Linked DNA regions of Sus scrofa. The protein of the gene in region 4 purifies or fractionates together with the protein of the main gene of each other region. This does not show direct contact. Links are inferred from orthologs where the notes say so. Each region holds a gene or a part of one and is shown on either strand. Other genes may lie near its edges.

Region 1 (4,228 bases), on a different chromosome or scaffold from region 4:
AATACTGTTACTAAGGTAGTTAATAGTAACTACTAATACACAAAAACTGCTTTCAGAAGTTCCTGTGTGGTGCATGGGGTTAAGGATCTGACATTACAACTGTGGCTCAGGTTCAATCCCTGGCCCAGGAATGCTGAGGGTATAGCCAAAAACAAAACTGCTTTCAACATTAAAACTATTTCTGTACATGTTTTAGCTTTCTGGCAACAAAATTAAAACATGTAAGAAATCTAAGCTCCCTCATAAGTGTAAAACTGAATTCCAGAAAGTTTAACTGATTTGCCTGAGAGGTAATAATGGGGGGAGGGGGAAATATCCAGTTCTCTTAACTCCTCCTAAGCCAAGGATCTTTCTACTGCTAACACTCCCCAGTTAAAGCCTCACAGTTAAAAGATTAATCTTTAGTATTAGAATAACTAGCTACCTTGGAGTTTCTTGTTTCTAACAGCAGTTCCATTCATAATAACAAGGTCCCACACCATGTAAAACCCTCTGGAGACATAATCACGGAAAAGGTGTGTTTAAATTCTCTACCAAAGGAATAGCAAATACCATCAAGTTTTCCTGTGGCATAAGCACTGGGAAACACAAAAAGGTCAATTGCATCTTCCTTCTTAAATCTTCTTCAGCCAACATGAAAATGTTACTAATGCCTACCTACTTGAAATCAAATCTACAACTGTTTTAGATACTAATTCTGTGGCCAAATCATCCCGGATAGACATTAACTCAAAGGAACTGTTACCTTGGTACATGCTGATCTTAATGAACCCGTTATTTCTAACACCTCAAGGCAAGAAGTGTCCTTCAATTCCAATTCCTATGAATAATTATTCCTAAAAACTTATTTCTTACATTTCTATTTGCCAATAATATTTTTGAGGTATATAATTCCCTAAATTAACTAATCACTGCTTTTTTTTTTTGGCCTCAACTGAGGCATGTGGAAGTTCCTAGGCCAGGTATTGAACCTACACCACAGCAGTGACTTATCTTTATCCCACTGAGCCACCAGCGAACTCCCCTTATGTCACTTCTGGCAGTTCTGCACTTAATTTTAGTTTTAAGTCCATGTAATAGTATAAATATTCAGGCTTTATCCAAAAAAAAAAAAAAAGCAAGCAACGTTTTTTTTTTTTTTTTTTTTTTTTTTTTTTTTTTTTTTTTTTTTTTTTTTGGCTATTCTTTGGCCGCTCCGCGCATATGGAGGTTCCAGGCTAGGGTCGAATCGGAGCTGCAGCCACCGCCTACGCCAGAGCCACAGCAACGCGGATCCGAGCCGTGTCTGCAACCTACACCACAGCTCACGCAACGCCAGATCGTTAACCCACTGAGCAAGGCAGGACCGAACCCGCAACCTCATGGTTCCTAGTCGGATTCGTTAACCACTGCGCCACGACGGGAACTCCCAAGCAACGTTTTTGATTCTTACTACAATTAGAACAGTTATCTACATGGTGAGGGAACAAGTACATAGCTATGTAAAATAAGAATACTTTCAGCGCCTATGAAGTATGTTTCCTAAGGGATGAATTTATTCTGCAGCACTGGTTTAAACTGTGCTAATACTAGCTTTTGTGAAAGCAACACGTTATGAAAAATAAAATCACCTAAATCTTACACAAGAATTAAAAAAAGGATCTGATATGCGAATGTGATACTACTAAAAAACCCACATAATTTTTGCAAGTTTAGGAAAAAACTTGAATGCTTCAGAACCTAGCAAATAATAAGCACTATAATACCTACTTAATAAAAAGCATACAGGCACGCATTTTTTTTGGTCAACGTTTGGATGATCTGTAAAATGCATGCCAGAATACCCTGAAAGTCAAACTTTATTGTCTTAGGAAGTTACAACAATAGTATATGTAATTCTCATAATTTAATATTTTTCCCAAGGGCAGTTTGGGAATTTCCAATTACCGCTAGTGGTTGCTGTAATTACGTTCTTGTAAAGATTCAAATACAGTATGTTAGTATCTACCACATCAAGAGGTAGGAAAAGCCATTTAATTTAACCTAGTGGCCAAATTCCTTACTACTCCTGCTACTGATTTAATACGACCCTGGCAATCCACACTCTCATGCTGCGGTTTCTATCTGAGAAAGACAGTAATACCTACCTCAAGCAAGCTCCACTAACTTATATATTTCAAGTGATTTGTAACCTGTAGATAAAAAGCCAGCTTTCATTATTACTGTTAATATGTAAATGAGATTACAATTTAAAAAATAGAATTGAAAATAACTACGTCGAAGTCCATCATTTGCTCAGGGAGGAGTGAAACAAAAACTAACCGGTAAAATATTAAACCTATTGTTATATTTATTACTATACCCTGTGGTACGCTCCAGAATTTAGAGGCTTGCGGTACAATAAATATCTGCTTGATAACCCTTCCCATCCCCCGCTCAATTTTTAAATTTACAGGACTATACTAATGAGCATTTCGATCTTCCCTTTCATGATCTCTCTTAGAGACCTCATGGTCATAGAAAATGAAAGGACAGCAGCCGTTAACACAGGAGAGCGAGAAGAAGAAAAAGGACATTCTCCCTGCCGATCCTGGCCTAGAGGACATTAGGTTAAAAATCCACGCAAGGGCTGAGGCCTATAAAACTCTCTTGCATAAGATCTAATCCCCCCGTGCAAATAGAATAAACGGGGGCCTGCTTACTCTACCGAGAGGAGGGTTCCCCCGTCTTCTCCCACACCCCCTCGCGCTCCCCAAGGAACCCAGCGACTCCCCTGCTTCCACCCCCTCCACTTACCAGGAGGGGGGAGGGAGAAGAGATTCGATTCTGAATCTCCTACTCCCGGGTTCTACGTGGAGAAGCGGACTGCTGCTCGAGGTCGGCAACACCGCCGCAACCGCTCAGTCTTCGCCTCTTCACAAAATGGCCCCCGAGTCTCCTCTGCCGCCGAGGCGAAGGCCTAGTCCCCGCCCCACTTCTAGGACTCTTCCTATTGGCTGAGCTTTTTCTCGCTCCCGCTTCTAATTAGACAGTTCTACCGCTCTTCACAATTCTGTCCAATCACAATCAGTGGTGGGTTAGACTAAGCAAGAGAATTTCCACATGCGTGAGCGAAATTAGTTTGTAACTGGTTATTTTTCCTGTCATTTATCACCTGAGAAATGCTTATTGGCCACTGTAACTGACGAAGCGGTAGGTGGAAACCTGCCTTTGTACCGCGCACCACTTCATATCCGGGTATCCGGGAGGTTGTGATTGGCGGCTACGGGATCCTATCACTGCTCCTTAGAGAACCTGGTAGAAGGCCCGCCGGGATCTCGGAATTCCGGCGGCGCGGGGGCGGGGAAGGATTGCGGGATTTTGTTTGGTAGCGGCTCAAAGGATGTGCCCTAGCTCCGGGCCTAGGTAAAGGGAAGCAGGAATCTCCGAATGAATCCTCTATACTGCTGTGTGGATAAAGAAAACACTTTTCTTAGAATTGGGAGGGAGCACCAAGGACTAGAAAAGTAACCAATCCTGCAAAACTCCAACCTTAGAGCTCCCATTTGGACAACACTTAACCTGTCAAGCCCTTCTTTAGACAACCTGTATCTCACCCAAAACAGCTGACTTCCTTATTCCTCTCCACTGCAAAAGGTAAAGAAAGTCTAAAATGTTGGCCTGAAGTATTACAGCACCCATCCTCTGGCCCCAAATCATTTCACGAATACCCTACATGCCAACCAGAATTGGCTTGCCCATCTAATCCTACCCCCTGCTCGTCCCCCAAATCTGCTCCCTTCTTCCCCTCATCTGAAATAGCTAGTCTCCCACCTTCTGGCTCCAGGCATCGCCTGCCAGTCCCGCTGGTTATATTATAGCAGCCATGCACACAGTGGGATAGGTCCAGCTATGCTAGGAATGAAGGATATTTCTCTGTACAGTTAGAGAAAGCAAGATGCAGAATACTATCTAGATAATGTGATACCATCTGTATACATCTTATGGAATATATGTATATGTGAATACAGTTTTATGCATTAATTTTGAATTATGTCTGAATTCCAGAGAGATTCACAAGGAAATTACTTGTTACCTATCAAATGGAAAAAAAAAAAAAAAAGGCCATTTAGTAACAAGTTGAATGTCATTTACTTAGGGAGAGCAGTCCATGGTTGGAAGAGTACAGTGACTCACAAGCAGTGGAGCACACTTCCCCAGGGAGTTGGGGCAAGAGTACGTTTTATACAGCATTAGAAGCAGCAAGGTA
Region 2 (4,455 bases), on a different chromosome or scaffold from region 4:
CTTGTGGCAACGGTCGCAACTGGGGCTCAGATCTGATCCCTGGCCCGTGTGCCAAGGGGTGGCCAAAAATGACCTGTTTTATACTGCTATATTTGCTAAAGACCTTACATCTCTGTAAGACCTCTCCTACTTGTACATATTAGGAGAAAAATATTCTATACAGTTACTTCCCAATTTTTGGTATCAAAAACTTGGGCTGGGAGTTTACTTGTGGCATGGTAGGTTAAGAATCCAGTGTTGTCTCTGCAGTGGCTCGGGTCCCTGCTGTGGCATGGATTCAATCCCCGGGCCCAGGAATTTTCACATACTGCAGGCACAGCCACAAAAACAAAAACAAAGAAACAAAACAACCCTTGGGCTATTCCTGTAGTTTCTGGCATCATCTATTCCGCTGCCTGACAATTCTATTTATCAAAGGCTTTAAAAACATGCATTCTATTTACTCTAGCAGTGTTATTACCCAAGAATTAATCCTGACCACAAGACAAACACCTACACAAAAGGACATTTGCTACAACGTGGCTTAATCCCAAATCATTGGAAACCAACCTCCAAGAGAAGATTGGTAAAAAGCTATGTTACATATTCAGTACAGAATTACATTCAGCTATCAATTATACTGATATTTATTAGAAGTTGGTGTCCTCCAAAAGGGCAAGTCATTACAGTACATACAAGACCATAGGCTCAGAGTTGGATGAGTAAATGTGAAACTCACCTCTGTCAGTTATTACTGTGTGACCCTGAGCAAATCTTTTAATCTTTCTGAGACTTTTTTCTTCCCTATAAGATAGATAATACTACACATCTTATTAAGTTGTTGAAAAGTTAAGAGATAATACTTAAAAAGGGCCTAGCTTGGAATTCCCACTGTGGCACCATTGCGCAGCCTCTTAGGAGTGCTGGGACACAGGTTTGACCTCAGCCTGCCACAGCGGGTCAAGGATCCAGTGTTACCCCAGCTATGGCTGGGATCTGATCCCTGGCCCAGGGAACTCCATATGCCTGAGGGGCAGCCAAAAAAGAAAAAAAGAGAGCTTAGCATCTGACCCTACCCTCCACAGATCAGCTTTTGCCACATAAAAAAGATTTTTGAGGGAGTTCCTGTCCTGGCACAGCAGAAAGAAATCCCACAGCAGAAAGAAATCCCACGTGAGGATGCAGGTTTGATCCCTGGCCTCGCTCAGTGGGTGGGGGATCCGGCCTTGCTGTGGCGTAGGTCAAAGACACGGTTCGGATCCTGAGTTGCTGTGCCTGTGGTGCAGGCTGGCAGCTGGAGCTGATTCAATCCCTAGCCTGGGAACCTCCATATGCCATGGGCGTGGCCCTAAAAAGCAAAAAAAGTAAAAAAAGTAAAATAAAAAAAGATTTTTGATTCTGAAAGGCCCAATTTCATCCAGCCTACTGCGGAAAGGCTCGATCTACCACAAAGAACAAGTCCATCCTCCTAGTCAAAGACCAAGACCACCAAGATTACCATTCCACTCTACCCTCTCTCAAGGTGTTTTTGCATGTAGTCATGCCAGCTTTCCTTGAGATGTAGATTACAAACCTTTCACATTCCTGGTCATCACCCTTTACCTGTACTTGGAACATCCTAAGTTACCGTAACTAAGATAAGAGCATTCATTCACTGATGCTTCCTGAGCACAAAGCACTGGTATTGCCACTTAGTATATATCTTGCTACTGAAAATCACAAAACTCCTACAAAGCAACGAAAACTTTTTTTTTGGTTGCGGCCACTGCATGTAGAAGTTCCCTGGCCAGGGATCAAACCCTCACCACAGCAGGAACCCAAGTAGCTGCAGAGACAGTGTCGGATCCTTAACATGCCGCACCAAGAGAACTCCAAAAATCCTATTAAGTGCATGATGACATCGCCACAGAAGTCAGATTCAGAGAGGCTAGGCAAGCTGCCCGGGATCATACATTTTTTTAAGCAGAGGCTGTTCCCAAACTTAGACTTGTCTGATGCCAGAAGTTAAGAGTCAAGCTCACAGCTATGCCTCGAAGAGCTATGATGCTCAAGCCTACCTCAGTATAACTAGAAGCAGAACCCTGCCTGCCTCTACTCTCGTTCCCTTTCTTACTAAGGAAAATCCCAGCCTTCATTATTTCTAAAGCAATTTCATTTGTGTTTCAAATTTGAGAGTTAAGGTCCAAGTCACGCTTGGCATCAGCTAAGATAAAGCACAAAGAAGGAACCAGGAGCCTCCAATGCCTCTGGTGGGACACAGCGCTCCCTTCTCGCAACATTGTCAGCCACGTGACCTAGGCCACGCGGGTCCCACGCTGCTGCTGCCGCCGCCGCCGCCTCACCTCTCACCAAAAAAAGCAACAAGGCTTGTCGCTGAGTAGTAAGACTTCGTGGAAGAGATGCCGGCATTCCAGGGTTTCTCTGGACACTGCCGAGAGCTCGGCACAAAGGCCCAAAACACTGGGCTGGAGGACCCCACAGACCTCCTTACCTGCAAACCTAAGCATGTCAGGGCCCAGAGCCCTGTGGTCATCCCCCCTTATGTCCCAAACCCGGAACTCACAACGCCTGTTGCCTTGGCGAACTTATTGGCCACGTCCGAGAGCTGGTTATCACGCAGAAAGCCGAGCACGAGAGGATACAGGTCGCTAGGAACCACGCGGCGCAAGCCGGCGTCCGCCATCCTCCGGACAATACGCGTCACTACCGTCGCGGACGCACACGACTCAGGAACCCGGAACAGGAGGGGCTGAGACGGGCCAGTGTGATGCCTCCGCGCTGCGCGGGACACAGCGGAAGGGGCGGGCACACGCCGCAGGGCCTTCCCGCTCCCGCCTTGGAGGCTGGGTAAAGGCGAAATCTATGAACTCTTTCCGGTCCCACGAGTGTCGCCATCTTGGTTAGGGCGGAGCCCGCCCTTCGGCTACTTTGTGGAGGCGGAGCCCTGACGTCAAGGGGTCACGCCCTAGAGATGTGGCGGGAAAACTCCGGAGTTCTCGCGCCCAGCCTTTCTAAGCCTTTCAGCCGCAGCCACATTTCCTGGGGTGGTGGTTACCTGCGCCCCTGACTTGTGGATGCCAGGGTAAGGAGTGGGCTGGGGAGACCGAGCTGACTTTGAACTCCCTTTAGCTTGGTCACATGACTTCCCATACTGCTTCTATCGGTGCTGCCAGTGGATTCCCACCCTTCATCTTCACTGTCTCCGACACCCTGGGAGGCCCTTTCTCAGGGTATCACACCAACCTCTGCACTCCCATCTCCATTACAGGATTCTTCAGATTATCCGTTGTAGTGATGAGGTGCTGATCTTCAAAACTGCCCCTTCCAAAATTACGACTTGCCCTTGAGACAGCCTTTCTTCTTTTACTTATACAGCCTTAAGTCAGTTCCATGAAGGGAAAAGCGGTTTTGCACCAAATCTGAGTGACAGCAGCAATCTCTTCAAATCTAGAACCCTGAAAATGACCCTTCCACTTTCACACCCGGTACTCTCCCTGGGGGAAAACTAGAAAACCCTTCAACTGGAGTTCCCTCAAGGCTCAGCAGGTTAAGGATTCCTTGTCACTAGTGTGGCTCTGTGACTGCTGTGGCAAGAGTTGAAGCCCTAGCCTGATAAGTCCTGCATGCCTTGGGCACAGGCAAAACCAAAAACAAAACAAGGAGTTCCTGCTGTGGCACAGGGGGTTTAAGGATCTGAGTTAGGATCTGGTGTTGCCACAGCTGTAGCATAGGTTACAGCTGCAGCTTGGATTCAATCTCTGACCAGAGAACTTCCATATTCCATGGGTGTGGCCATTAAAATAAAAACAAAAAAACGCAATCCCTGTCATGAGTACTCAAATATCAATCAGTGCCCAGGCCTGCCAAATAAATTCTATCACGTTTCAGTTCACATTAGACAGCAATCCTTTCAGTCCTATCCACTACCTCTCGATTACTTCCCATTCACGCCCTTCAGGAAAGTAAGGCTCCACTTTCTAAAGGGACACACCTTTCCTTTGCCTTCATCAAAACAGGCACTCCCCTGTCCTTGGTATAATTCCTCTTCCCCAAAGATCTATCTTCCCGCATGCATTCTTTAAACACCTGAGCACTTGCTGAACACCAAGCATTGTGTGTGGCTCAAGCTAATAAGGTCTGTGTACACACAAGCTTCGGTTTAGAAAACCTTTATTTGGAATATGTGTGGGGGTACTTTGATATTAAAATTACTTCCTGGACCAGTAGCACCAGCATACTCTTGATGGAAATGCAGAGATCAGACCCCCTACCCCATAAGTCAGAATCTGCATTTTTTTTGTTGTTGTTTTGGGGGCCACACCAGCAGCCCCTGGAAGTTCCTGGGTCAGGGATTGAACCCATGCAACAGCAGCAACCTGAGCCACTGCAGTGACAATGCCAGATCCTTAACCCACTGAACCACCAGTAAACTCCCAGAACCTGCCTTTTAAAAAGCTCTCCAGATGATTCAAATGC
Region 3 (4,393 bases), on a different chromosome or scaffold from region 4:
ACCTCTTCCACCAAATCCACTCTTCTCAACCCACTCCTTGAGACCTCATCCCTATTCCTCCTCCACAGTCACTGAGCTTCCCTCACTCCTACTCCCTTTAATCTCCTTCACTACACCCCACTCCTCCCTTCCAAACCCCCAACTCCTCCATTCCTTCCTAACCTTATCTCTCCACCCTCCCCCCACCCCACTTCCTCCCCAAACACACAGCCACCCTCCTTATCCCCCCGACCCTCTCTCTTCACCTTGATTTTCCAGCTGATCAGGCAACCTACCTGGCAAGGAAGGGTGTGCAGGGGGGCTAGGGCCCCCAGGTTTGGTCTGAGCACTGTTGATTCCATCCCCCAGAGTCTCTCCCACTGAAGGGCTGGGGGGGCCATTTGGGCTCTGTGGCTGCCCTTGAGGAAGCTCCTCCTCCTGCTCAGGGGAGCCCCTTCTCCCAGTAGCTATGGAGGTGGTCTCCTCCTCTTCAATATGTGGGGACTGCAGGGTTATTGGAGAATCTGGAGCCAAAGGTTCTAGTAGCCCCTCAGGTGAAGAGGGGTTTGCCCCAGCCCCTGGGTTAGGTGGCACCACCTCAGGGGTCTGGCCCCCTGGTCCAGGCTCTAGGGTCTGATCTCCTGCATCCCATGCAAGGGTCCCCTCCGGACCATGGTCCACCTCTGGGGGGGAGGGAGCTTTATAGAGCAGCCCCCCCAGCCCCAGCAGCTCAGTGGCTCCATCCAGGACTCCAGGGTCTTTTTCCAGGCCAGCAGGGGTATCAAGCAGGTCCAGGGCTCCTGAGGATGGAGAAGGGCCAGGGGGCGCCCATCCTCGAGTTGGGGCAGTCTGGGATTCCAGTAGATCCTCTCCAAATTCCATGTCTACTGGAAGGTCTCCAGCCAGGGGCTTCTCTGGCAGGGTCAACGGGTCAAACGGACTGGGGAAATCACTGGGGTCCATGAGGATGACTGGATATGGGCTGCAGATTAGGGGTAGAAGAGGGGGTAGGGGTAGAAGAGGGGGCAGAAGAGGTGGTCTTCGCCAGAATTCCTTCTAATACAGGCTCTGGGACACACCCCATTATCCACTTGGATTTCTCCTGAATCGCCCCCAACACAACCGACAAACCTTTCCAAAGGCTTTAGTCCAAATGACCACTCCCCCCCTCCCAAATACAGCGCCCCCTGTGGGGAGAGGCGTTCCCCGCCCTGGCCCAGTGCCCACACTCGCCGGGCAGGCTGTCGTTCCACTCGCCGCGTACCCCCGCCACCCCACTGCAACTCCCTGATCCCCTCCCCCTTCACCTTTCACTCCCCCCGCCCAACTCGGGCTGAACGCCCCCTTAGAGTCTCCTAGGGCCGTTGCCACCGGGAGCCTTTCCCGCCCCCGCGATTTCAGTTTCTATCCCCTCCCCTCTCTCCTAGAGCCCCCCAGCTCCCCAGTCTTTACCCACCCTGTCTGGCCCCACCCCCACCTCCCCGCGTTGCATGGTCCTCTCAGCCCTTCCCTCGCCCCCACAAACTGCCCTTCCTAACCCCTCCCCCCAGTTACCTTTCAGGGTCGCCCACTTTCTCAGCCCCGTCCCCTTTTCCTAGAGCTCTCCCAGTCCTCCTCCTGTTGCCCACCCCCCACCTCAGGCATTTACAGGAAGACATTTTGGAGCTACGATCTCTCCTTGGACCCCCCCCCCTCCCGGCTACTGCGAGTTCCCGCCTGCAGGTTCGGTTCGGCTTGATCAGGCCCGACCCCTACCTGCGGCAGGGTTAGTGTAACCGCTACAAGCCTAGAACTGCAGACAGCGACGGCCCCGCGCTCCTTCTCCACCTCCCTCCCTAGCAGCCGGGACAGGGGTCGCGGCCCCTTTAAATGGCAGCGCCGCTCACAGCGCCCAGCGCTCTGCACCAGGCGGGCGGGCGGCGCCAGCAACCAACCCCATTGGCTGGCTCGTGGAGGGGGCTCGCGAGACAGCGCCGGCCCCCGGCGCGAGACTCCCAGCCCAGTGGACGCCTGGAAATTGCGGAGTGGAACGTAGGCACTGGAGATGGAGCTTGAGCCCCCGCCCGGGGCCCCGTTAGTTGAGAAGGAAAAGCTAGCCTCTGGAGCTCAGAAGCCCGCCCCCCGGGAAAGGCGGCACCCCCTTTACACCAAAGGGCCGAGTACAATAACCCACAAAAAACAGATCTACGCACCTGCTTCCCTTACCTGGCTCAAGAGTCTGGCCCCCCGTCACACCCGTGCCCGCCCTATCTCCTGGAGCCCACTCTACCCGTGATCCCCTCCTCTCATTCAAATGGTTCCCGGTCCCCTCCCCCTACCCGTGTCTCTCTCCGCTTCCCACTCGTGTTCAACCCCCCGGCGTCCGCCCCCCTCAACAGTCCCTACCTACGCCATGCAGCAGGCGCCTGCCAAGATTACCCTCCCCCCAACCCCACCTCTCCGGGGCCCGCCCCCTGGGCGACTGCTGGGGTAATGAGTGACAGCGGAGGGTGGGGGGAGGCAAAGGACCCAGCCCTCACGTGCCCCTCCTCCCCTTGTCTGCAGCCTCGGGCCCCCCTAACCATTCTGAGACTCATAGTTGTGGGGTGTCTTAAGCCTGGTCTCCAGCTACCCAGGGCGGGTTAAATGGCTCTGGCTCAGTGACAACGCCTATGCAGTAACCGTTACTGCCTGATGACCCCAAAACCAGGTCCTGCAAAGACACTCCCCTACTCCTTCCACGGTCTTAGGGTAAGTTCTGGGATCTTCTCCCTGAGTCTTCCCGCAGGAGCCCCCTGCGTTATCTCTTCTGTAGTTTTCCTCACCAAGGCCGACAGTCCTCCTTCCTCCTTTCTATCTCTTGTCTGTCTGTCTCTCTCTGTCTCTCCTTCCCTCCCTCCCTCTTTTTCTGTCCTTGTCCCTCTCTCCCTCTCCCCGCCTCCTTCTCTGGCGCGCTCTCTCTCTCTCCCGGTCTCTTTTTGTCTCGTCTCTGTCTCTCTGGCTCTCTTATGCACGAGCACGCACGCGCGCGCGCACACACACACTCCCCCTCCTGGATGGTCCTTAGCGTGTGGGTGTGGCTGGGGTTGAGGCTGGAGAAGTGGGGTAGGGGGAGGGGGCATTAGTATTAGGCCTACTGGCTTTAAAAAATGTGTGCCAGGATCCTTTCTCAGTCCCCATCAGAGTTAGGGCACTTTCCAATCCCCCCTCTCCACTTTCCCCCTCTGACCCTTAAGGGCTGAAGAGTATTTGGTGTCTGAGATACTAGAAGAGGCTCAGGCTGGACAAGAGTCCCGCCACATTTTTAGAAATACACGTAGGTTTGTTGTCCAGTGCTTGCTCTGGCGTGCCTCTTGCTCTGGGCCTTTCTTCTTTCCCATACTAAGCCTTTCCTAGCCTTATAGTCCTTGGGAGTTTTATCCTCCCTTGTCTCATTCACTTTCCCAGAAACCTTATCCTTCCTGTTCCCCCCATGGCCTTGAGGTTATCTTTGCTCTCTCCCATATACAGAGATAAAAGCAAGAGTTTTCCCATTCAGGTTTTCCAAGCCCAGCCTTTTCTTTACCTTAACCAGTATTCTGTGTACCCATCTCCCACCTTCTGGTTATTTCTGTGTCCTTTTACCTCCTTTTGGATTTTCACTTTGTTGCATCACAGTTGGGCCGCCTCGTTCTTTTGTATTGCCTGCCCTTCTCAACACATGCTTGGATCTCTGGCTTCTCTGGTGGTGGAGAATGCCTGGTTTCAAGTTGAGGGGAGACAGTCTAAAGGGGGCATTGATGGTGTGTATTCAGAGGCAATGTGTGTGAGCTCTGGAGACCAGGATTCTAATCTCCACTCTGCCTGCTTTTTAGCCATTTGATTTTGGATACATCACTTGTCAAGTCACTAGGTCTTATTTTTCTCATCTTTAAAACAGAGATAAGAAAACAATCTAAATGTACGGTAGGAGGTTGGGCAAATCAATTTTGGTTATATTCATACAGTGGATGTAGTCATTAACAACAATATTTTTTAAAAAGCTAATGAGGCAGAGCAGAGGAATTTCTGGGCAGTGAAACTATTCTGTATGATACTATAGTAATGAACACATGTTATGATACATTTGTCAGAACTCATAGAATGTAGGATACCAAAAGTGAACTCTTCCCTAAACTATGAGCTTTGAATGATAATGATGTATCAATGTAGGTCCACCAATTGCAACAAATGTACCACACTGGTGGGGGATATTGATCCCTCAAGAGAGGCTGTAAAGGAGGGAGGAGGTGTGGGGCAGGGAGTATATGGGAACTTTCCGTACTTTCACCTCTATTTTGCTACAAACCTGAAACTGCTCTAAAAAATAAATCTATTAAAATGATACAGGAAAATGCCCTTGATATAATGTTACACTTTTTTAAAAAAATATGTTTTTTTTCTTTTTGGGGCAGCA
Region 4 (3,725 bases):
AGAGATGTACCAGGGTCCTCCTGTCATTGGATTTCACTTCTCTCCATCTGCTTCCCCAGTTCTTCCGGGTCTTAAATGGCTACTCGCTCCAGCACAAACTGTTGCTGACTGGGACCCCATTACAAAACAATCTGGAAGAGTTGTTTCACCTGCTCAATTTTCTCACCCCTGAGAGGTTCCAGTAAGTGTGTTTTGATCCATAATCGGCTCATAATTCTTTTGTTTCTTTCTTTTGCCCATTTCCTGTATCACTTTTCTTTCTCCACATCAACAATTTTTTCTTTTCTTCGGAAGCAATTTGGAAGGCTTCTTGGAGGAGTTTGCTGACATTGCCAAGGAGGACCAGATTAAAAAACTCCATGACATGCTGGGGCCTCATATGTTGCGGCGGCTCAAAGCGGATGTGTTCAAGAACATGCCATCCAAGACAGAGCTAATCGTGCGTGTGGAGCTGAGCCCTATGCAGAAGTGAGTCTGAAGGGACAGAAACATTGGCTCTATTTTGCAGACATAGTTAAGACCTCAGCCGGCCTGCACAGCGTTGCCTCGTTCTCTCCGTACCCTGCTTCAAGGCATATGGGGACGGAAGCAAGCAGCCTAAAGAAACCCCTCCCCAAGGAGCTGGGGCCCAGAGTGCTTTCACTGTTTCTTGTTACTTATTTATGTATTTATTTTAATTTTTCTTTTTTGGCCGCGCTGAGGCATACCGAGTTCCCAAGCCAGGGATCAGAACTGAGCCACAGTTGCGGCTGAAGCTGCACCTGCCGAAACACCAAGTCCTTAACCTGTTGTGCTGGGCCAGGGATTGAACCTGCCTCCCAGCACTCCCAAGATGCTGCTGATCCCGTTGCGCCACAGTGGGAACTCTTCCTTACCTTATTTAAAATGATGAGGGTGGTGGTGTTTCTTAGGTTTTCTCAGTCCCAAAATGAGTGATGTTGGAAGGAAGGTCTCTGGCCTTGGGACTGCATTATGAGTCATTGAAGTCATCGAGTGTGACTTCTCTTGTTTTTTTTTTTTTTCACGTGTAGGAAATACTACAAGTATATCCTCACTCGAAATTTTGAAGCGCTCAATGCTCGAGGTGGTGGCAACCAGGTCTCTCTGCTCAATGTGGTCATGGATCTTAAGAAGTGCTGCAACCACCCGTATCTCTTCCCCGTGGCTGCAATGGTATGTTGTGCTGCCTCTTGATCCTCCTTGGGAACTGCTTCATTTGGGGTATCTTTCAATATATTTTTTTTCTTCTTTGCTTCTTTCCTCAGGAAGCCCCTAAGATGCCTAATGGCATGTATGATGGCAGTGCCCTAATTAGAGCATCTGGGAAATTATTGCTGCTACAGAAGATGCTCAAGAACCTTAAGGAGGGTGGGCACCGTGTGCTCATCTTCTCCCAGGTATTGCGTGGGCTTGGCTGGAATTTAGAGGGTGGCAGAGGACAGCTTGGCGACACAGGGAGGGATTATCCTGTGACTCGCCTGTGATAAATTGTGCTCCTTTGCCAGATGACCAAGATGCTGGATCTGCTGGAGGATTTCTTGGAACATGAAGGTTATAAATACGAACGTATTGATGGCGGAATCACTGGGAATATGCGTCAAGAGGCCATCGATCGCTTCAATGGTAAGAGGGAAGGAATGGTTTCATCCTGGCAGCCCCATTCACCAGTGGCCCTTGACTGGTCTCTTGTTCTTCCTGGGCATCTGCCTTTTTATTTAGTGGTTTGGGCTCTTTGTCAGTTGACTGAAAGAGTATTTTTGAAATTTTTTGTTTTGTTTTGTTTTTTTAGGGCCAAACCTGTGGTATATGGAGGTTCCCAGGCTAGGGGTCAAATCGGAGCTGTAGCCGCCTGCCTACACCAGAGCCACAGCAACACAGGATCTGAGCCACGTCTACGATCTACACCACCGATCACAGCAACGCCAGATCCTTAATCCACTGAGCAAGGCCAGGGATCGAACCTGCATTCTCATGGATGCTAGTTAGATTCATTAACCATTGAGCCACGACAGGAACTCCTTGAATGTTTTGATTGGAAGAATGTATTGGATTGTTCCTTGCAGATTATTTTCCCTTTAGAGTCTTCATTCTTTCTGCACTTCCTTTAATCCCCTTCATTGCATCTTGAGGCCTGGGTGGGCCTCAAGCCCAGACTGTGAGTTATTGGCAGATTTATCTCAGTAGCCACTACCACCTCCTCTTTTTTTTCTCACTTTTTAATTCGAAAGGATTTTGAACTTAAAATTCAAAAAATAGTGCAGAGACTTCATGTGTACCCTCTGCCAAGCTTTGCTTCATCATGACTTCTATTACCACAATTGAGTTGTCAAAACCAGGGTGTTAATGCTGGATTCATACTCAATTAAATGGCAGACTTGAATCAAACATCACCTGTTTCCTGTGTCAGGATCCAGTTTCTTTTTTTCTTTCTTTTTTTTGTTTTTGTTTTTTCTAGGGCCACACCCATGGCATATGGAGGTTCCCAGGCTAGGGGTCTAATCGGAGCTGTAATCTCTGGCCTACACCACAGCCACAGCAACACAGGTTCCAAGCCAAGTCTGCAACCTACACCACAGCTTATGGCAGTGTGGGATCCTTAACCCACTGAGCGATGCCAGGGATCAGATCTTTGTCCTCATGGATGCTAGTCAGATTCATTTCTGCTGAGCCACAGCAGGAACTCCGCATTCTTTTCTTCATGAGTTGATGCATTTGATGATGACTGGTCAGCTCTTTTGTAGAAAGTTTCTTAAGTTTAGCTTTGTCTGATGTGTTCTCATGATTAGACTGATGTTAGATATCTTGAGCAGGGATTCCACAGAAGCAGTACTGGATCTTTTTCATCCCTGGTGAGGGTGTCATGTTGATAAAGTCCCATTGCTGGTGTTAACCTTGATCACTTAGTTAAGGTGGTGTCTGCTGCATTTTTCTACTGTAAATTTACTTTTTTTTTTTCATTGTACCTGATAAATAGCCCGAGGGAGATATTTGAGACTATGGTCATGTGTTTTACCTTAAACTTTCACACTGATTTCAGCATCCATCAGTAATCTTGCTTATTACTTTGATGTTTGTCTAATGGTTTTTTTTTTTTTTTTTTTTCCACTTTTTAGGGCTGTACCTGTGGCATATGGAGGTTCCCAGGCTAGGGGTCAAATTGGAGTTGTAGCTGCTGGCCTACACCAGAGCCACAGCAACCCAGGATCCGAGCAGAGTCTGCCACCTACACCACAGCTCACTGCAGCACTGGATCTTTGACCCACTGAGCAAGGCCAGGAATCGAACCTGCAACCTTGTGGGTCCTAGTTGGATTCGTTTCTACTGTGCCATGACGGGAACTCCCTAATGGACGTCAGTGTTTCTATTATTTCTTCTACATTTATTAATTGGAAGTCAGGAGACACCTCTAATGGCGTTTTTGGTTCCTTTCTTAGCACCGGGTGCTCAGCAGTTCTGTTTCTTGCTTTCCACTCGAGCTGGAGGCCTTGGAATCAATCTGGCCACTGCTGATACAGTTATCATCTATGACTCTGACTGGAATCCTCATAATGACATCCAGGTGAGCAGAGGTGGCAGCTTTAGTGTACAGTGATTTATTGGAAATGCAGTGTTCTATGTAAGAGTCCCACCAGCTGGAATATGTTGTTTCAGGGGGAAACAATACATTCTATTCTTTTTGGTCTTTTTAGGGCCAAACCCACGGCACATGGAGGTTCCCAGGCTAT
Region 5 (3,725 bases), on a different chromosome or scaffold from region 4:
GACCTAAGCCAGGCTGCAGCCCAGCTCGGTCACTGGGGGGGCAGGTTAGGGGAAGAGGATGTGCTTTTAACCCTTGCACCGCCCAGCCCTCAGGACCCGAGGGCTTGTGTAATTCGCACAATAACTCATTGTTACCTAGGATTACCTAGGAGTTAATCAAAATAAACAACTAGCTTTGAATTTGGTCTCAGGGTGCAGGCTCTGCCCTGCAGATACATTCATGAGACTGGGTCGAGTGTACCTCCCAGTCCCTTTTAAGGCCCCAGCTCCAACATCCTGCTCTTTTTGTTATTCCCTTTCCATGACAGGTTCCCTTTTTTTTTTCTTTCCACAACAGGTTTTTTTTTTTTTTTTAATTTCAAAATGAAACTATTTTCCTTAAATGCAAATAAGATGTCACACTTCTTTTCCTCTTGAACCCGCTTTTTTGTGTTTGGGGTGGAATCAACCCCCCGCCCCCACCCCCACCCTCCACCCCATCTGATTTTTTAGCTATGCATGACTCATACCATTTATTCCTACAGAGAAAAGCAAGCTGTATTACCTTATAAAACAACATCTTTCAAAAACATTTTTATAAACATACAAATCTAAATTTCATAACAAGATCCCCACTATAAAAGTTGGCTTGAACAAGTAACTGGAAGGTGGCAGTGGTGGTGGGGGTGGTATCACTGAATTTTAGCAACAATGCTGTGCATTTTTCTCTAAATCTAGGAGAAAAACAAGTAGAAATTATATATGTATGTACATATATAATATACCATGCATATATAAAAATATACCATGTTTAAATACACATACAAATGCATATATAACATGCATGAGGATAACTCTAGAGTAGCTCTAAAATGGACTCCTTTTGGTTCTGGCCTCTGCAGAAGATGTATGCCATGGGATCAATTCAGAGTCCTAAAAGAGGCCATGGGAATGAATGTCCAGCAATAAAATGGGCCCTGAACACACAGAGGTATGCAGTCAGCAGCTACTGTGGAGCCACACAAGACCCTGGGAGGAGACCCACAGGGATGAGCAGCTATGAGCCCCACACCTTCAGTCAGGAGAGAAAGAAAAAGGCGGGGGGAGCCACTGGGGGCTGAGTGGACTGGGGAAGCAGGTGACAAGTGAGTAATGGAACAATACATAGGCAGGTGCCAATGTATTTTGGAAGCAACTCCTTTCCATACTTAAAAAGTAAGGGTAATTTCTAGAAACTCTCTTCTCTACACACATGGACATTTGTAGAAGAAATAATGCTCAACTTACAAATACCCTGCGGGGCATATTCTGCACTCATCCCGGGCGTGGGGATTAGAGCTCCATGTGCAGAACGAGGGGAGGAGAGGCCCCTCCAGTGCAGAAGTTTATCTGTGAAAGAAACCCACAATCAAGCACTAAAGCTATAAACAATGAGCATCATAAACCACAGGATATCACATTTCAATTCCATTAAAATAGATTAACATCATTACAACAGCCTTGCAGATAGTTCACAGGCCCAAGGCCTGCATCAAAAGAACAGTGGTGAGTTATTTCCCACAGTTCTGTTTTGTTTTTATTTTTAGGCTCTATCCGAGGCATGTGGAAGCTCCCAGACCAGGGATTGAACCCACACCACAGCTACAGCAGTGACAATGCTGGACCTTCACTCACGAAGCCACCAGAGAACTCTTTTAACTTTGGTCTGTTTTTTTGTTTGTTTGTTTGTTTGTTTTTAAATGGCTGCTCCCACAACATATGGAAGTTCCCAGGCCAGGGACTGAAACGAAGCCTCAGCTGTGACCTATGCCACAGCTGCAGCAATGCAGGATCCTTTAACTCCCTGCACCAAGCTGGGGATTGAACCCACACCTCCACAGCAAGTCGAGCCACTGCAGTTGGATTCTTAACCCGCTGCACCACTACAGAAACTCCTTAATTTTGGTCTTTTTTTGACAAAAGAGAAGATTTTTGTTTTAGGTATGGGGTGGGTTCTTTGGTTCATTTGTTTGTCTTGTCTGATTATTGTCTGATAATAAGAGATGTGTAAATAGCAAGGGGAAAACTTGGTAACATGATTGGCAGGTTGGCAAAATGGGGGGATTTATCTGCAAGGCTGGTTTAACATGCATACATTTACTCTAGAGACAAGCTCAAGCAGAAACAATAAGCTCACAGGAAATGAGTGATTTATGAATCATTTCTTCCAGAACCATGTCCCACTGCCCCCCATGCTGTATTTATGACAGCACCTTCAATGACAAGGAAACTTTGGGCATCTCAAGGTTGGACCACGCTCTAGAATTTACTCGTGGAGTACCCACTATAGACATGGCTTCTTACAACACGAAGCAGTGGACAATAAAGATTAGATTTCTGGGGTCAAAGTAACTTTGGCCAAGTCTTCATCTTCAGGATAAGGAATCCTATCATTCAAAGACAAGGAGATAACCAGCATTCCAAAAATAGCAGCACCCGGAAAAAGTGGCCCTGCTCCTCTATTCTACAGCACTGGGTTGCACTCTGGTGAGGAAAAATGACTTCTCCCACTAATAAACATAAATCTAGCAGTAAATCAAGCATTTCTAACATTGAGATTTTTGTGAAAAAGGAAATATTTGGTTTGTGCAACCTGGGGATTATATGGTTTATGTGGTGAGTGCCTAGCTTTTCCAAGTCCACCTTGAGCTAACCAAGCATGCAGAGGTCAACCTGGAGACAGAGTGGAGGATAGATGGAGTGCGGACACTCCACGTATCCTAGAGGCTTGGAGTTTGTAATGACTGGGGGAGGCAGGAGAGAAGAAAAACAGACTTTGATGGTGAGTAAACAGAGTGTGTTTTCCATTAGCTTAATATTAAGAGCACTTAGAAGAGCTGTTGTTATGCTCTAGGATAGCAGGTCTCAAGTGTAAAATACATCCTGTTCCCCTTCTATAGATCACACTGCCAAGAACAGCCAGGGCAGCCGGCACAAAGTTTCCTTTCATGAGGAGCCTGGTGGGTAACAATGGCGTTGCTCGTGGAAGCTCTCACACGGAGGCATAAATCTGTTGTTCTGGGCCTGCCCAGGAGGCCGCCTCGCCCAAGACCATCTACAGAGGCATGTCCTCCTCCCTGACCCCAAACACAACAAATACCACAAAATGACCCAGCAAAAGTGGCAAGGCTGGACTTAAAAAACATTTGACTGCTTACATTCTATGAATTGAGAGGAGAGGGTAAAATTAACTACAGATTTAGTCATAGCGCTTTTCAACGAGAAATCTGAGAATCCATTTTCGCACTTGTTCTCGCCTCAGCTATTTAAGAAGTGTGTCGCCAAGACTGAAATCCTTTTCTTAGGAGACCTCCACAACTGGGTACTGTGACCTCAGCATCAAAGCCCAAGGTACTCTGCCCCTCCCACGGGGAGAGTCTCATTTCAAATTCCCTGCCACTTACTCCAGGAAGAGACCCTGAGGTGCCTGGAGTAGGCCTCCAGCAAGAAACGGGAGAACAGTTAACCTAGCCAGGCCTGACCATTTGCATGTATCTCCCACTGGCAAACCCCTCAACTAAACCACTGGCCTGGAGCAAGCTAAGCTTCTGGGGGCAGCAGCCTGGCCCAGTTCTCCACAGCCCTAGACCACCGGGCAAAGCAAAGGCTCTTGAAGAAGAGTGAGTATCTGAGTATCCAGTCATGATTTGATTTCGGTTTTGGTTTTTGAGTATTCAAAAACCTTAGAGATCATCAAGTCTAATGTC
Region 6 (3,725 bases), on a different chromosome or scaffold from region 4:
GCGGGGGAGGGGGAGGGGGTGGTGGCTCGGGGGTCTGGGGCCTCAGGGGGTACAGTTTATCATAGTGCTCTCGGTACTGTTTGGCAAATCTCTCTAGCTGTTTAAAGGGAAAGTAATTCTGATGAACATGCTCTTGATGACTCTTTAAAATCAGGATGTTAGAAAACAACTTGCCACAGGCCTCACACTCGAGCTTTTCCAGATTCTCCCCCTGCTCAGTCTTCCCGTTCTTTTTCTGCACCTTCTGCTTGTTCTCGTTGTACTGAATGACCAGCTCAAAGCCAAAGTTCTCCAGCAAGGCCTTGGTGGCATTCCCTCTGGCATCTGAGGCAATGCGTGGAGGGAGCATGGAAGGCTCAGAACTACCCCCTGGGGCCAATTCTTTCTTTTCTTTGGCCTTCAAGGCATCTGGCAGTGATTCCTTTGGTCCCGAGTTGCCCTCTCCCCCCTCGGCACTGTCCCTCTCTCTCTGGATCTCCTTTTCCTTTTCTTTGATGACTGATTTGTTTTTCTTTTCAGTGTGCTGGCTGGGCTGAAGGAGGGCAGAGTGACTTTGGGAGAGAGAGAGCTGGCTTTGCTGCTGCTGCTGCTGTTGCTGCTGCTGCAGGATCTGCTGATGGCCCTGCTGTGGGATCTGAACCTGAGCCTTCAGGTCTTCCAGCAGGCCTGGGCCGGTCCCAGTCAGCGTCAGCGCCCCGCTAGTCACCGGCAGGCTCACCTCAGGGTTGAGCTGGAATTCGGCGCTGGGGATGTAGAAGGGGAAGAGGAGATGCTGCTGCTGCTGCAGCTGCAGCAGGGTCTCAGTGGTCATGGGGAAGTGAGGAAGGAGGGCGGGGTTAAACAGATGGGACTGGATCAGGGCCGCCTGCTGCTGCAGCTCCTGCTGCAGATGAGCTTGAACTTGAGCCTGGGCCTGGGCCAGTGTCTGTGCTTGTTGTTGCTGCTGCTGTTGTTGCTGTTGCTGCTGCTGCTGTTGCTGCTGCTGCTGCTGCTGCCTGGATGCAATCATATCTGCCAGCTTCTTCCGATTGGCCTCCTTGGGCTCAGAAGGGGAAGCAATGTTGGCACCTACGGGATTCCCCAGGGGCGGCATTCCCACACTTTCAGTGGGCACTTGGCTCAGTAAATTGGAGCTTGGAGCGATGCCAGCACTGCTTGGATTGGCGGTGGTAAAGGTGTTACTGCCACTGGTACTCACAGGACTTGGGGTGGAAGAGCTCAGGGAGACACTGCTGCTGTTCCCAGTGCCGTTGCTACTGCCACTGGCAGCCTCCAGCTTGGCTGCCCGGGCCTTGGTCTGATGCAGCACAGACCGCATGTGGATCTCCAAAGTGGAGCTCTGGCTGTAGGCCACGTTACAGGTGTTGCACTTGAAAGGCTTGTTGTCAGGGCTGCTGGTGGGTTCTGGCTGACCCGTTGCTGACTCTTGAAGGGCTCTCTTTAACTTATGCAGGTGGGAGACAGAATTGTAGTGCACCAGCAGGATGTTCTTTTGTGTGAACGATTCCTTGCAGACGGTACACTTGTAGGGGCGAGAAGGGTCTAGAAATTTTTCCATGGTGAAGTTGGGGCCTTTTCGGAAAGGTAGAGCTCTCTTGGGCTCTGAGCCCGAGTCTTCTTGTATTGAGCCAGAATCGCTCCCCGTTGGGCTCTGTTTATCCTCCAGGTCACTCTCTTCCTCCTTGTCTTCCTCAACAATTATGGTATGGTCCTCGGCCAGCGTGGGGTCTCCCATTGCCAGGAGGTCCCCATTGGCCAGAAGGCCACCATAAAGCTGCTGGATGTCAGCCTCACTCAACTCCAGGTGGCTCGTCTCAAGGTGTTTTTTCAGAGCCTGGAAAGTTCGGAAACTGCGCTGACAGAGACAGCACATAGTGGCAGCTCTGATCACGTGGTACTGAGAATGGAGCTGCAGCTTTTCCACAGTCTTGAAAGCCAGGCTGCACTGGTTGCAGCGGTACTTGTACACATGGCGATCAGACACGGGCAGCTGAGGCCTCTTGGCATGAACCTCATTGAAGTGCGTCTGGAGGGTGGCAGAAGTTTTGAAAACCTGGTTGCACCCCTTCTTCCAGCACAGGAAGCCTGAATCTTCTTTCACAGAGCCTGGGTCAGCAGGCGAGGGTTTCAAATCTCCACTGTGTTCTGTGCTCGCAGAGGGTAAGATGTTCTTTCCCAGATCCTCTGAGGTTTCTGGTTAAAAAAAAAAAAAAAAGTCAAACCCAATGATAAAGAAGGCTTTGTTTTAAGGATGGCACCCAGAGCTGTCTACCCAGCAAGGCCTCACGAACACGGTCTCACAATGAGGGAAATAGCCACCCTGCACACAATCTCTCCAAGGGCCCCAACCCCCGAGAGCACAGGTTATAAGCAGGTGCATATGATCAGAGGGGAAGGAAAGGACATGCAGGAAGTTTCGACTTCTAGGAGACCATACCGTAGCACAGATTTGTCTTTTAAATACTTGCTGGACTCAGAATCCTCAATTTTTCAAGAACTGGTTTGAAGCACACCCCCTGACATGGATCTGAATTGTAGACTATATGAATTAATGCTATCCTAAGATGGGGGGAGTCTGCAAGAATGTCTACCCACTGTAATAGAAGACATTTTGGAATATATTTTTAGGCACTGAATTTCTTGTTATGACTTCTGACTGTCATCTCTAATAAATACACAATGAATATTCAAGTGGCCAATTATTAAAATACATTAAAACTTTTGCTACAGTGAGATTACCACACCTATAAATATTCTCTGACCCTTTTTCAGATCAGCTGTCCACTGTCTAATGTGGAGAACTCACAAGGGTGGAGTCGGGGCGATACGGTATTAGCCCTTCCCAATTTCTAGCTCAGCTGGTGACAAGAAGTCAGAGATGTAGGAGACACTTGTGAACAGGGGTGTAAGGACTCGCCCAGCTAGGACCCACCATGGGGTGCCACCCGCAGCATCTATGTCTACAAGCGAGTTCTTTCCCAATGCACCTCTCTGCGGCATCCTAAGGCAGTCCTGGAGGTCTCCAAGGAGAACGCTGTGCAGGGACAGCTCCTAGAAAGGCAGCTAATCCACTTCCCTGAGAGCACCTGAGATCACCAGTCCCTCCCGAGTAACTAAGTCCTCCGAGAGGGAGTATTTAACAGGTTATGATGCTAAGTCATGGGTCTCCTGACTGAGATTCTGATTAAAACTCCCTCAGTGTACAGTCGAAGGGGCGTGTGTCCATCAAAAAGCCCACTGTTCTCACCTGATTTTTTTCTCACTTCAAGCCATATGAGGAATACACAAATCACGCCAAGAATCAGAGTCTCAAGTAGCTGACACAACAGTGCCCCTTATCCCTTGAGCAGTTACATTCGGCTTAGGAGTACTGTAAAGAATTCTTGGCACCACTGCTTTTGACCCTGGGTTTCATTTTGTTTCTGTTCTCAGGAGTCAAAAATAATGACACTAACCGGGCTGCTTGGCTGCCTCCTCCACACTGGAGTTCCCGTCTCGATCTGGAACCGCCGTTGGGAGGAACATGCTGCTGGGCATCACCATCTCAGGGGTAGTCACCTGAAGAGCAGGAGGCAGAGAAGCGAGCAGAGTCAAATGGAGAGGAAAGAGACACAAAATGGGGAGATCTGTAAAAATTATTTAATAAGCAAAATTAGCCTTCACCAGTGTGAAGCTGGAGGTGTCACTTTTCATAGCTCACTGAAGACTCATGTTTATTAGACAAA
Region 7 (3,725 bases), on a different chromosome or scaffold from region 4:
GCAGCATATGAAGGTTCCTAGGCTAGGGGTCTAATCGGAGCTACAGCTGCTAGCCTACGCCACAGCCATAGCAATGCCAGATCCAAGCCGCATCTGCAGCCTACACCACAGCTCACAGCAACGCCAGATCCTTAACCCACTGAGCAAGGCCAGGGATTGAACCTGCAACCTCAGTGGGGATCCTTAACCCACTGAGCAAGACCAGGGATTGAACCTGGATTCGTTTCTGCTGCACCACGATGGGAACTCCTCTACTCTATATTTTATTACGTGAAAATTTAAATGTTTGAAATGACCAGTTAAAGCATTGATCTCTATAACCAGAATGTATGTGTGAAATATAACTCAAACTCACCAGGCTGATTGCAGCATCATCTTCAGGACCGGAATATTTGAATTGGATACGATGTCTTTTCATATCTGCAAAGTATTCTTTAGCTTCTTTTGATGTGCTGGTACCCAAACCTACAAAAGCAAGAAAAGCAAGCTATTCCATATAATCTTGCGCCATGGTATATAACAAAACGAGACGCTCTATGAGTTTCATTACAAACCTTTGTAGTATTTGACTTTCCATTTTTTATGATTTGGTGTAGAACTCTTCCATTCTTCAAATTCAGGAAGGCTATAGAAAGCCATTTCTTGCTTGTTTTTAGATACCTAAGGTACAAAACATATTGCTGTGGGTTTCTATACTGCTGGGGTCCCTGCATACCACCATATACCACTGGGGTTATATGTGTATCTAGGGTTGAGGAGCAGGGCCTTAAAATATCCATTATGTAATCTTAGAAGTTAGTATACCTTTACAATGGGAGTGATAAATTCCTCCAGGAAACGATGTCGCAGAAGAGAGGGCCAGTTATGATGGATAAAGTTAATCAGCAAGCCTTTGATATGGGAACCGTCTTGGTCCTGAAATATTTGGAAAGCCAAAATACAAAAGAATTGCTTAGAAACTAAAATAAATAAATAAATAAAATTACGAAGGATGTACAGATAATTTGTCAAAATTTTTTCTATCGGTATTTAAAAAAATGGCTATCAAATTCAGACACACTTAAACTGTACATTTAATATACACGTAATATAAACATAATATATCTGATTAGATATGAATTAAAGGTAATGAATACAGCTTCAGGTTAATTATTTTCTTTCAGGGCAGGAAAGTAATGCAATAATAAGACAGGTTTAATTTAATCATCTTAAACAAATCTGACCTGATCTGTCATAATCATTATCTTCCCATAACGTAGAGTCTTCAATGAATCTTCATCTTCATAGTTTTTCTTGTATTGAAGACCCACAATCTTGATTATGTTGTTAATTTCAGCATTTTCCATTATCTGAAATGGATATACAGCAAAAAAAAAAAAAAAAAAAAAAAAGGTAATATTTTGTTTATAAACTCTAAAAAAAGAGAGAAATAAAATAGTATATGTTGCTTGGGTTTTCTTGAACTCTAATATTTTGTTATTAGCCTATACTTCAGTAAGTCAGAAAGATCTGTTAAGATATGCTACAATGTACCTAATTTCCTAAAATAACAACTAAGATATATTTCAGAACACTCAATGAGAGAATGAAATATGAGCATGAAGTCCTGCATTACAGAACTAGATTGAGATTCTAAAGATAGTTTTTTTATATTCTACCTGTTTATGAGAAGCTTCTCGAACATTGAGTATTTTTCCCCTAAGAGGGAAAACTCCGTATTTGTCTCTCCCAACCACACCAAGGCCTGAAACTGCCAAAGTTTTGGCTGAGTCTCCCTCTGTCAGGATAAGCGTACACTCAGTGGAATTTCGGCCCCCTAAAATAAACAAATTGATATTAACACATTTAGTTCAACCTCGAATACACTAACTCAGATACGTGATAAAACGAAAATAATTTATAATTCATAACAAATTGGCTTGGGGTAAAATGGAGCTAAGTAATTAGATACATATTTTAGCTAAAATTCTTAATAAAGCCTTAGTTTCTTAGATAAATCTCTCACGACAATTATCTTGCTGCTAAACACTGGTTTGATTATATTACGTTATTAGTGTTATATTTTTGTTTTTTAGGGCTGCATATGGAAGTTCTCAGGCTAGGGGTTGAATCAGAGCTGCAGCTGCCAGCCTATGCCTCAGCCACACAGGATCTAAGCCACATCTGCATCCTACACCACAGCTCACAGCAACGCTGGATACTTAACCCACTGAGCTGGGCCAGGGATTGAACCCACATCCTCATGGATACCAGTTGGGTTCATTCCCACTGTGCCACAACGGGAAGTCTTACATTTAATATTTTTGTTGATGATGGGGTTTAGGACATGCCACCCTCATGTAGGAGGTAACCTCCTTATACCACAAAGAAAGGGACATTCTAATCCAAGATTGAGGGTCAAGAATCTGAATCTTAGCCTTGCTAATTTTCCCTAAGTTTATTCTATTTCGCTTATAATCTTTGTCCTATCATATATTTCCACAACTTTCCATTCTTTGTCGAAGCTAGCATAAAACACTTAGGTTTAACCATTTCTTTAGGTCTTCATTTCTTTATAAATGTTCTGGTGTCACATGAAACTATACTTAATAAATTCACTTGCTTTTTTCAGTTTAATTTTCAGAGACAACCAGGAACCTAAGATGGTCGAGATGACTTTTTTTCTCTTCTACATTAAGTAATAGATCACTGTATTCTAAACATTCTTGTTTTATTTTTTTCTTTTTTGGCTGTCCCGCACTGGCATATGGAGTTCCCAGGCCAGGGATCAGATCCGAGCCACAGTTGAAACCTGTGGCTACAGCAATGCCGGATCCTTTAGCCCACTGTGCCCACAGGAAGCTGAACCCTCATCCTGGCGCTACAGAGATGCCGCCTATCCTGTTGTGTTACAGTGGAAACTCCTAACATTCTTGTTTTATACCCCCAAAATAATCATCTCAACATTATTTATAACAGCTAAAGAGTGAACATGACTTAAATGTTCATTAACAGGGGATTGGTTGCTTTTTAACAAAGTACAAATATTCTTCTGGATATTAATTGTCAAGGGAAGATACCACAGTACACTGTTAATGAGTAAAACAAATAACTGAACTAAGAGATTTAAAGTTTAGAAACATTATTAAATTTATACCTGCATCATTGGCATCATCAAGTTTGGGAATTCCTTTGATTCTGTTATGTTTTACAGCTGAACATTTCTTGTTTAACTGGACTTGGGCCTTAAATTTCACCCAGTTTAGGATGCTTTCTACAATACCACAGCCAATTGCCTGAAAATGAGAAAATTCATCTTAGGGAAGAGTTTTATCAGAAATTGAGACTACAAATGAGCCCCCATAAAAATAAAAATACTTTAAAGATGAAAAGAAGTAGAAAAATAATGGCTAGAGGGTGGCACTTCGTCCTGTCTTAGGTTATCACCACTGATGGAACGGGTTCCTTTGCGTTTATTCACTCAGCAAATATTTACTGACTACATACTTATATTGTGCCAGATACTGAGCTACATGTTTGAGATCTTGTAACAAATTAAACATGGTTCTTGTTCTCTAGGTGTTTAGTATACAAGGAGGAAGACAGAGAAAATAAAAAGTTACAAGCATGATAAGTATTATGGGTAAGTGAAAAGCATGTTATATTTAGTGAGGTGTGTCCAGTGTTGTACTGGGACAAACTTAGTTAGGGGAAGGAGTAGAAATAGAAGGCAAATGACATTTAAG

Evidence for each region.
Region 1: the proteins of CHD4 (region 4) and HNRNPC purify together in Homo sapiens (affinity purification with western blotting; 3 studies listed by BioGRID, with this or other methods). This does not show direct contact. The link is inferred for Sus scrofa from reciprocal best matches to the Homo sapiens genes CHD4 and HNRNPC.
Region 2: the proteins of CHD4 (region 4) and NOLC1 purify together in Homo sapiens (affinity purification with mass spectrometry, with the first as the bait; 3 studies listed by BioGRID). This does not show direct contact. The link is inferred for Sus scrofa from reciprocal best matches to the Homo sapiens genes CHD4 and NOLC1.
Region 3: the proteins of CHD4 (region 4) and ZMYM3 purify together in Homo sapiens (affinity purification with mass spectrometry; 3 studies listed by BioGRID, with this or other methods). This does not show direct contact. The link is inferred for Sus scrofa from reciprocal best matches to the Homo sapiens genes CHD4 and ZMYM3.
Region 5: the proteins of CHD4 (region 4) and BCL11A purify together in Homo sapiens (affinity purification with mass spectrometry; 5 studies listed by BioGRID, with this or other methods). This does not show direct contact. The link is inferred for Sus scrofa from reciprocal best matches to the Homo sapiens genes CHD4 and BCL11A.
Region 6: the proteins of CHD4 (region 4) and ZFHX3 purify together in Homo sapiens (affinity purification with mass spectrometry, with the first as the bait; 3 studies listed by BioGRID). This does not show direct contact. The link is inferred for Sus scrofa from reciprocal best matches to the Homo sapiens genes CHD4 and ZFHX3.
Region 7: the proteins of CHD4 (region 4) and TOP2A purify together in Homo sapiens (affinity purification with mass spectrometry; 3 studies listed by BioGRID and IntAct, with this or other methods). This does not show direct contact. The link is inferred for Sus scrofa from reciprocal best matches to the Homo sapiens genes CHD4 and TOP2A.

What each region holds. Positions count from the first base shown.
Region 1 is NC_010449.5:77,919,821-77,924,048, reverse strand, and holds the start of HNRNPC (heterogeneous nuclear ribonucleoproteins C1/C2), read right to left. Parts: upstream 2,905-4,228; 5' UTR 2,776-2,904; intron 2,172-2,775; exon of another isoform or gene 2,127-2,171; intron 1-2,126. UniProt on the Homo sapiens protein: Binds pre-mRNA and nucleates the assembly of 40S hnRNP particles. Interacts with poly-U tracts in the 3'-UTR or 5'-UTR of mRNA and modulates the stability and the level of translation of bound mRNA molecules. Single HNRNPC tetramers bind 230-240 nucleotides.
Region 2 is NC_010456.5:113,153,036-113,157,490, reverse strand, and holds the start of NOLC1 (nucleolar and coiled-body phosphoprotein 1), read right to left. Parts: upstream 2,873-4,455; 5' UTR 2,663-2,872; coding exon 2,543-2,662; intron 1-2,542. UniProt on the Homo sapiens protein: Nucleolar protein that acts as a regulator of RNA polymerase I by connecting RNA polymerase I with enzymes responsible for ribosomal processing and modification.
Region 3 is NC_010461.5:57,276,616-57,281,008, forward strand, and holds the start of ZMYM3 (zinc finger MYM-type protein 3), read right to left. Parts: upstream 2,813-4,393; 5' UTR 2,784-2,812; intron 2,425-2,783; exon of another isoform or gene 2,365-2,424; intron 2,318-2,364; exon of another isoform or gene 2,185-2,317; intron 2,170-2,184; exon of another isoform or gene 1,735-2,169; intron 962-1,734; 5' UTR 943-961; coding exon 276-942; intron 1-275. UniProt on the Homo sapiens protein: Plays a role in the regulation of cell morphology and cytoskeletal organization.
Region 4 is NC_010447.5:64,085,017-64,088,741, forward strand, and holds part of CHD4 (chromodomain-helicase-DNA-binding protein 4), read left to right. Parts: intron 1-59; coding exon 60-181; intron 182-294; coding exon 295-468; intron 469-1,031; coding exon 1,032-1,173; intron 1,174-1,265; coding exon 1,266-1,397; intron 1,398-1,505; coding exon 1,506-1,623; intron 1,624-3,434; coding exon 3,435-3,559; intron 3,560-3,725. UniProt on the Homo sapiens protein: ATP-dependent chromatin-remodeling factor that binds and distorts nucleosomal DNA. Acts as a component of the histone deacetylase NuRD complex which participates in the remodeling of chromatin.
Region 5 is NC_010445.4:81,277,792-81,281,516, reverse strand, and holds part of BCL11A (B-cell lymphoma/leukemia 11A), read right to left. Parts: intron 1,369-3,725; coding exon 1,267-1,368; intron 1-1,266. UniProt on the Homo sapiens protein: Transcription factor. Associated with the BAF SWI/SNF chromatin remodeling complex. Binds to the 5'-TGACCA-3' sequence motif in regulatory regions of target genes, including a distal promoter of the HBG1 hemoglobin subunit gamma-1 gene.
Region 6 is NC_010448.4:15,707,115-15,710,839, forward strand, and holds part of ZFHX3 (zinc finger homeobox protein 3), read right to left. Parts: exon of another isoform or gene 3,559-3,725; coding exon 3,456-3,558; exon of another isoform or gene 3,433-3,455; intron 2,194-3,432; coding exon 1-2,193.
Region 7 is NC_010454.4:22,007,651-22,011,375, reverse strand, and holds part of TOP2A (DNA topoisomerase 2-alpha), read right to left. Parts: intron 3,276-3,725; coding exon 3,137-3,275; intron 1,817-3,136; coding exon 1,659-1,816; intron 1,350-1,658; coding exon 1,224-1,349; intron 916-1,223; coding exon 805-915; intron 661-804; coding exon 555-660; intron 466-554; coding exon 356-465; intron 1-355. UniProt on the Homo sapiens protein: Key decatenating enzyme that alters DNA topology by binding to two double-stranded DNA molecules, generating a double-stranded break in one of the strands, passing the intact strand through the broken strand, and religating the broken strand.